Linked DNA regions of Sus scrofa. The protein of the gene in region 2 purifies or fractionates together with the protein of the main gene of each other region. This does not show direct contact. Links are inferred from orthologs where the notes say so. Each region holds a gene or a part of one and is shown on either strand. Other genes may lie near its edges.

The links.
Region 1: the proteins of VPS45 (region 2) and RBSN purify together in Homo sapiens (affinity purification with mass spectrometry; 4 studies listed by BioGRID and IntAct, counting the BioPlex papers as one, with this or other methods). This does not show direct contact. The link is inferred for Sus scrofa from reciprocal best matches to the Homo sapiens genes VPS45 and RBSN.

Annotation. Positions count from the first base shown.
Region 1 is NC_010455.5:69,413,816-69,417,636, forward strand, and holds part of RBSN (rabenosyn-5), read left to right. Parts: intron 1-3,073; coding exon 3,074-3,174; intron 3,175-3,821. UniProt on the Homo sapiens protein: Rab4/Rab5 effector protein acting in early endocytic membrane fusion and membrane trafficking of recycling endosomes. Required for endosome fusion either homotypically or with clathrin coated vesicles.
Region 2 is NC_010446.5:98,979,391-98,983,211, reverse strand, and holds part of VPS45 (vacuolar protein sorting-associated protein 45), read left to right. Parts: intron 1-12; coding exon 13-120; intron 121-1,210; coding exon 1,211-1,332; intron 1,333-3,821. UniProt on the Homo sapiens protein: May play a role in vesicle-mediated protein trafficking from the Golgi stack through the trans-Golgi network.

The DNA.
Region 1 (3,821 bases), on a different chromosome or scaffold from region 2:
GAGACTAGAAACATTTTCATCATGACAGGAGAAAATGGCTTAAAAATAAGACTATACAGGTATACTTGTTAGTTACATATAAAAGACAATTAGAAATCTGAAGGAGACATTTCAAGCATGTGACATCTTACTAGCTTTTGTTATTTAAAGAGAGTCAGTGCTCTGAGAACTCAGATCCCACATTAAGCTGCTGCCCACTGCAACCAAAAAAAAAAAAAAAGAAAGAAAGAAAAGAAAAAAGAAAGATTGACAATGCTAAATTTTCAGGGTGTACTTTTAGAATGGATAAACAACAAGGTCTTACTCTGTAGTGGAGGGAATAGACCTGGGATAGACCATGGAAAAGGATATAAAAAGAGTTTAATTTCCTGCTGTGGCGCAACAGGATTGGTGGCATCTCTGGAGTGCTTGAATGTAGGTTCGATCCCTATCCTGGCACAGTGGTGTTGCTACAGCTGTGGTGTAGGTGACACCTGCAGTTCAGATCTGATCCCTAGCTCAGGAACTCCATATGTCACAGGGTGGCCAAAAAAGGAAAAAAAAGAATGTATATGTGTGTGTGTGTTGTGTGTGTGTGTCACTTTGCTGTATACCAGAAATTGGCACAACATTGTAAATCAACTGTAATTTTTTTTTTTTTTTTTTGTCTTTTTGCTATTTCTTGGGCCGCTCTCGCGGCATATGGAGGTTCCCAGGCTAGGGGTCGAATCGGAGCTGTAGCCACCGGCCTATGCCAGAGCCACAGCAATGCAGGATCCGAGCCGCGTCTGCAACCTACACCACAGCTCATGGCAACGCCGGATCCTTAACCCACTGAGCAAGGGCAGGGATCGAACCTGCAACCTCATGGTTCCTAGTCGGATTCGTTAACCACTGCGCCATGAAGCCATGATGGGAACTCCTATACTGGATCTCGCGTTGCTGTGCCTCTGGTGTAGGCCAGCAGCCTGGGAACCTCCATATTCCACGGGAGTGGCCCTAGAAAAAGCAAAAAAAAAAAAAAAAAGAAAATAGTAATTATCAGTGTGATTTTCCTATTAACTTGCCTATATCAACAACTGAAAGAAGTAACAAATTGCAAAAGGTCAAGTGAATGGCACATTTTATTTTATTTTGTTGTCTTTTTAGGGCCACACTCGAGGCATACTACATACCACCTACACCATAGCTCATGGCAACACTGAATCCTTAACCCACTAAGTGAGGCCGGGGGTTGTTAACCACTGAGCCACGACCAGAACTCCCGAATGGCACATTTTAAAAGTTAATGTTGGTTGGGAGTTCTGTTGTGGCTCAGCGGTAACAAACCTAACTAGTATCCATGAGGATTCAGGTTTGATCCCTGGACTCGCTCAGTGGGTTAAGAATCCAGCATTGCCCTGAGCTATGGTGTAGGTCGTGGACATGGCTCGGATTCTGAGTTGCTATGGCTGTGGTGTAGGCTGTTGGCTACAACTGTTATTTAGCCCCTAGCCTGGAAACTTCCATATGATGTGGGTGTGGCCCTAAGAAGTAATAAAATAAATCAATAAATAAATGTTAATGTTTATTGTCACCCCTAAGAATTCAAAATTTAAAAAAAAAATGGGGGGTAGTTCCCATCATGGTGCAGCGGAAACTAATCCGACTAGGAACTATGCGGTTGCAGGTTCGATCCCTGGCCTTGCTCAGTGGGTTAAGGATCTGACGTTGCTGTGAGCTATTGTGTAGGTCGCAGACGTGGCTTGGATCTGATGTTGCTGTGGCTGTGGTGTAAGCCAGCAGCTACAGCTCCGATTCGACCTCTAGCCTGGGAACTTTCATATGTCTTGGGTGTGGCCCTTAAAAGCAAAAAAAAAAAATTTTTTTTTTGGCCTCACTTGCGACATCTGGAAGTTCCCAGGCCAGTGACTAAACCTTTGGCAAAGCAGTGACAGTGCTGGATCCTTTAAGCCGTAGGCCACCAGAGAACTCCCTAAAATTAAAATTTAATTAGATGTTAGAGTATTAAGTTAGGGAAGAAAAGAAGTGTAGGTGGTTAAGAGTATAGCATATAAAAAACTCTAAATATGGTCGAGTGAATAGGCCATCACTGGGCAGAAGAAGTGAACTAAGTGCTGGAATGGGGAGGGCTGGGACCGGTTTTCCAGAGAGGAGACATTGAGCAGGAGTTATTTCAGACATGCCAACACAGCAAGCTACTTCCTTCCATTTGGGAGATTCGTCCTGGGTCTTGGCTGCTGGACTCAGGAAGTTACCAGTTTAACTAGCTCCCACAAGGCATCTATTCACATTTACATTGGAGGGCTATTTTGAGAAGGATTGTTCTTATTCTTATGAAAAATCATATTGTACCAACTTTGGAAGTATAGACAAGCATGGGAGTTTTTTTAAATTGCCCATAATGTTACTGCCCCTTTTTACTGAATAAAAATTCATGTGCCAGGCAGCATTCTAAGGATTTGATAAATTTTAAGTTACTTAATCCTGATTAACAATCCTGTTGGGGGAGTTCCCATCGTGGCTCAGTAGTTAATGAACTCGACCAGTATCCATGAGGACGTGGGTTTGATCCCTGGCCTCAGTGGCTTAAGGACCCTGCATTGCTGTGAACTGTGGTGTAAGTCAAAGATGCGGCTTGGATCTGGCATTGCTGTGGCCGTTGTGTAGGCCAGCGGCTATAGCTCTGGTTTGACCCCTGGCCTGGGGACTTCCATATGCCACAGGTACGGCCCTAAAAAAAGAAAAAAGAAATCCTGTTAGGTAGGTACTACTGTTTTACCTATTTTATATTCCAAGTTACAGAGAGGTTAAGGAACTTGTCCAGGGTCACACGGTGTGTGGCAGGATTGAAACTGGAGCACAGGCTGGCTCCAGTGTCCAGGCCCTGTCCTCAAGTACTTTCCTTTCGCATTTTGTGGTCCCAAGGTGACTGTGGTTAACAGTTTAGCAAATTTCCTTCCATTTGCTTTTCTAGTTTTAAAATTTATAGTAATACTCTGAAATCCTAGATTTTTTCCTTGCTTTTGAAATTCAAAGTAGAGAGGCTCCCCAGAGAAACAAGTCTTTTGTCTCCTACCTTCTCTTCTTTTAGGTGCAATGCGAAGCCATCTTTCCGACTTCAAAAAACACCGAGCTGCCAGAATTGACCATTATGTTGTCGAAGTCAATAAATTAATAATCAGGTTGGAGAAGGTAAATTTTGTTGTTTTAAGACACCTTTTCCTGCAAATTTTAGTTTTCTGGGGAGGGGGATATTTCATTTTCCCCATGTTATATACACTGTATATAACGGATGCTGGCAGGGAAACACCCCTTAAGTGGTGCTGAGGACATGGTGGAAGGTTCTAGCCTGGGCTGGTTTTACTGAAGGGGATGGCTCAAGTCAGCCACTGGCCACATACCTAGCTTTTCTCTTCCTTCCTCTGAAGCCCACTTGGCTACTGGACAGCCTTTCTGCCTTCAGATCCTTCCTTGTTGGAGTGTCCTGGCACAGTCATGCAGTGACATAGTGTGTGGTATCAAACAGCCTGCTAACCAGGCATGTGAGGGGTGTCCTGCCAGGGCCGGCATGCAGTGTGGGAACCCCTTGTCCTGTGGGATGAGAGTGCGTTTTCCATACCATGATCGCTTTATTTTACTTTGACCCTAGAAATGCTTGCTGTGTATAAGCTGGGTTGTGTGGTGGGCATGGTGGCAGCCACAGGTTCAGTTCCTCATGTGTACTTCGTAGGATTGTCTAGGAGGGTGGCGGGGGATCTGGGTGTCCTGGTGCTCTCATTAGCCACCACACCGCATCCTTGCCCACTGCTGGTTATTGCTTAAACAGGTAAGGACAGTAA
Region 2 (3,821 bases):
TCTTTTTTAAAGCTTGTGTCTGCAGTTGTTGAATATGGTGGTAAACGGGTCAGAGGAAGCGACCTCTTCAGCCCCAAAGATGCTGTGGCTATTACCAAACAGTTCCTCAAAGGATTGAAGGTATGACATCTCTATGCTTTCCTAAAGGAAAGACAGTCGAAGCCCCTAAGGCTGAGAGTGAATGAATATGATCTTCAGAGTAACTTCAGGATCGCTGCTGGTTTAGTACTATGTCAATTAAATGAAATTAAAGCGGACATCCTCTGGAAAGTTTTTTCTTTAAATACTTCCTGTATTAGAGCAGCATCAGCATCAGCCCACATATCTGAGAAGGGAATTACGAGATATTTCCAGAAAATAATCAAGAGTAAAATGGCAGACAGTTCTGTTAGTTGTAGCTATTTTACTCCATTTGTTTACAATTTAAAATTTGTAAGGTGGTTTTTCTTTGAAGGAAATTAAAGATGAAGCAAACAATTGTAGATCTTTTTAAAACACTCACCTGTTGTCTTAAAATGGTCAAAAATTAGTTTTAATCTGCTAGCCTTTCTTACATTTCCTAAAAATTTTCCATTTTCCTGAGTGTTTTTAGTCTCCTTTTCTGTGTGCTCCTTCCTTTTATTTGCTCTACCTATCATACAGTATTTTCACAAAAGGATGAGAGCCAGTGAAGATATGATAAAGGATTTAAGCAATTCCTTTTTTTTTTTTTTTTTTTGTCTTTTTGCTATTTCTTGGGCCGCTCCCATGGCATATGGAGGTTCCCAGGCTAGGGGTCGAATCGGAGCTGTAGCCACTGGCCTACGCCAGAGCCACAGCAACACGGGATCCAAGCTGTGTCTGCAACCTACACCACAGCTCACGGCAACGCCGGATCCTTTAACCCACTGAGCAAGAGCAGGGACCGAACCTGCAACCTCATGGTTCCTAGTCAGATTCGTTAACCACTGCGCCACGACGGGAACTCCGAGCAATTCCATTTTTAAAATTCTTTTATAACAGCTAGCCTTAAAATACAGAGTATTTTAATGAGATTGGTGCATTTCTAATTGATGAAAATAATTAATTCTAAAATTCTCCTAAAATTCCTGCTTGACTCTATCCCATGAAGTCTCTGTTGAGTGCATGTCCTTTTCTGATATGAGTATCATTAACTATTACATGTCAAGTTTCCAAAAAATGACATAAGAACCATTTCCCTCTGTCTTAGGGAGTAGAAAATGTATATACTCAGCATCAACCTTTCTTACATGAGACCTTGGACCATCTCATCAAAGGAAAGCTTAAGGAAAACCTATATCCTTATCTAGGCCCCAGCACACTCAGAGACAGGTAAGATAACAAAGATATTAATAATAAAAACCAGAAAAACTAAGAAAATGGGAAACTTAGGGTAATATAAGGGACTACAACTAAGGTTATATCATTCTATTTGTCCTTCCACGGTTGTTTCAGTTCTAAGATTCTTTCGGTGTTTCATGTGTCAGAGTTAGATTTAAATTTACCTGTTAACCTTGAAGCATCATTTCTTTTGGAATAAAGAAACCGTTGTTTTGAAGCTCCCCTACCCCCCCCCCCAACTTGTGTTCTGTCCTTTAATATCAGACCAGTTTCCTTATGCCATTTAAGGTTCAGTTCCATGGAATCTAGCATTTGGACTTTCAAACATTAAGGCCAAAAATAGATTTGCTGCTTGATTGCCATCCAGAGCAGGTTGTTACTATTTTTGGTGAGGACTGGACTTTGCGAAATGTGGCCAGCATAAAAACTGAGACCTAATTAACAAAGGCCATTCGTTACATGGGAGAAAAGGATGGCTTTCTTTTTAAGTATAAACTAAAGAAAACAATTAATTGTCACTATAGTCCAGTGGTTTGTTAGTGTTAATAAAAACAAAATTTGTCCAGAGCAATTGTGTAGGCCAGGCTTACTGTTTTGTTTTTTGGTTTTTTTGGCCTCACCTGCAGCATATGAACATTTTATATACACACAAATTCTACCCAGTTATAAATTATATTCTTGTGTATTTTTTATTGGGACACATTATAAAGAGCCTAATATATATGGCTGAATCCTGTTGGATAGATTGATATGAGCATTGTTATGGGTAGTGAAATTCTTCTATTTTTTTCAGCTAATCATAATCTAAGAGCCTTGGAAGACTAGTGTTATATAAATATAAGGAATTTTCTGAGAAAAATGTTTTTTGAGGTACATAAATAACTCTTTTACAATAAAAATATTTTTTTCACTTTTTTCCTTTTTTAAAAAAAACCTGGAAATTTGGTAACAGAACAGAAAAAAATATTTTTAAAAACCCAAGATTGAGAGGTATCCAAGCTGCATCTGCGACCTACACCACAGCTCACAGCAATGCCGGACCCTTAACCCACTGAGCAAGGCCAGAGATCAAACCCGCATCCTCATGGATACTAGTTGGGCCCATTATCACTGAGCTACAATGGGAACTCCTCTTATGAACTTCATATAAGAATTATTGAACAAGAAATTAGCCACTTATTGCTAAAGGGGCATAATAGAAGAGTATATTGTGGATGATTAGTTCATGACAGGAAACCTTTCTAATTTGGGTAATTCATTTCTAAACAAAGCTCAAAATGATGCTTTTCCAGCAAAATGAACATTCATCAGTTTTGGCATCTGTTAGCTTTGGGCACTATTATCTAAATATACATATAGTTAATAATTCAGTTGCTTCATCCTACTATATAAAAAAATTTTATTGAGTGCCTTTAATATGTCAAGAACTGCTGTAAATCCTGGGGAAACAGAAATGACAGGAAAGACAGGTACCTGCCCTTGAGGGACTTACATGAAGGAGACAGACAGTAAGCTAGTAGACAAATAAAGAATATAATTTGAATGAGGTAAGTGCTACTGAGGAAATAAGTAGAGTAATAAGCTATGAAGTAACTTTGTAGAGGTAGGGAGGGGTACTTTAGGTAGAGAGAACCTCTCTAAAGAAGTGATATTTAAGATGAGATTTGAATTACAAGAAAGAACCAATCACATAATGATTAGAGGAAAAGCATCACAAGAAGAGGGAACACCAGAACAGAGTTCTCGAAGAAAGAGAACTTGGCAAGTTCTTGGAACAGAAAGAAGTCCAGTATGGCTGGAGTATGGAGAGTAAGGAGGAAATAAGAAGTTGAGAAGATAAGTAGGTCTGGATCCCATAGAGTCTTATAGGCCCTGGTAAAGAGGTTTTTAAAAGTTTTTAAATATCATAGGAAGCCATTAAAGAGCTTTAAGCATGTAAATGACATGAACTGAATTATGTATTAAAAGTCGCTTTGTTGGGAGAATGGATTATTGAAGGCAAAATTAGAAGCAGAAAGTCTACCTAGCAGGTGACTGCAGTAGTCCAGGTAAGAATGAAAGTGGTTTGGATAAGGAGGCTGGGAGAGAAGGCAGAATCAATAGACTTATTTAATGAAGTATATTGAAGAAGAGAGAAGGTAAGAGAGAAGTCAAGAATAACTCTCAGGTTTGTGGGGGAGATCAAGAGTTCTGTTGTTAAGTTACAGATGCCTATTAGATAAGCAAGTGGAAATGTTAGATACCAAATTGGGAGTCAATAAGATTTTGGTGATTTAAAGCTATGGGAATTTTAAATCTCTAGGGAGAGAGCATAGAAAGAGAAAAGGAGAGCCCAGGACCAAGCACTGAATAGAGGATGTGGAGTCAGCAATGGAGATTGAGAAAGAGATAGCAAAGATAAGAAGAAAACCAGAAAAGCATGGTGTCCTAAGGACCAGGGAGCTAGTGGTACCCTGAGACCAATCTTCTAAGAGATTTAT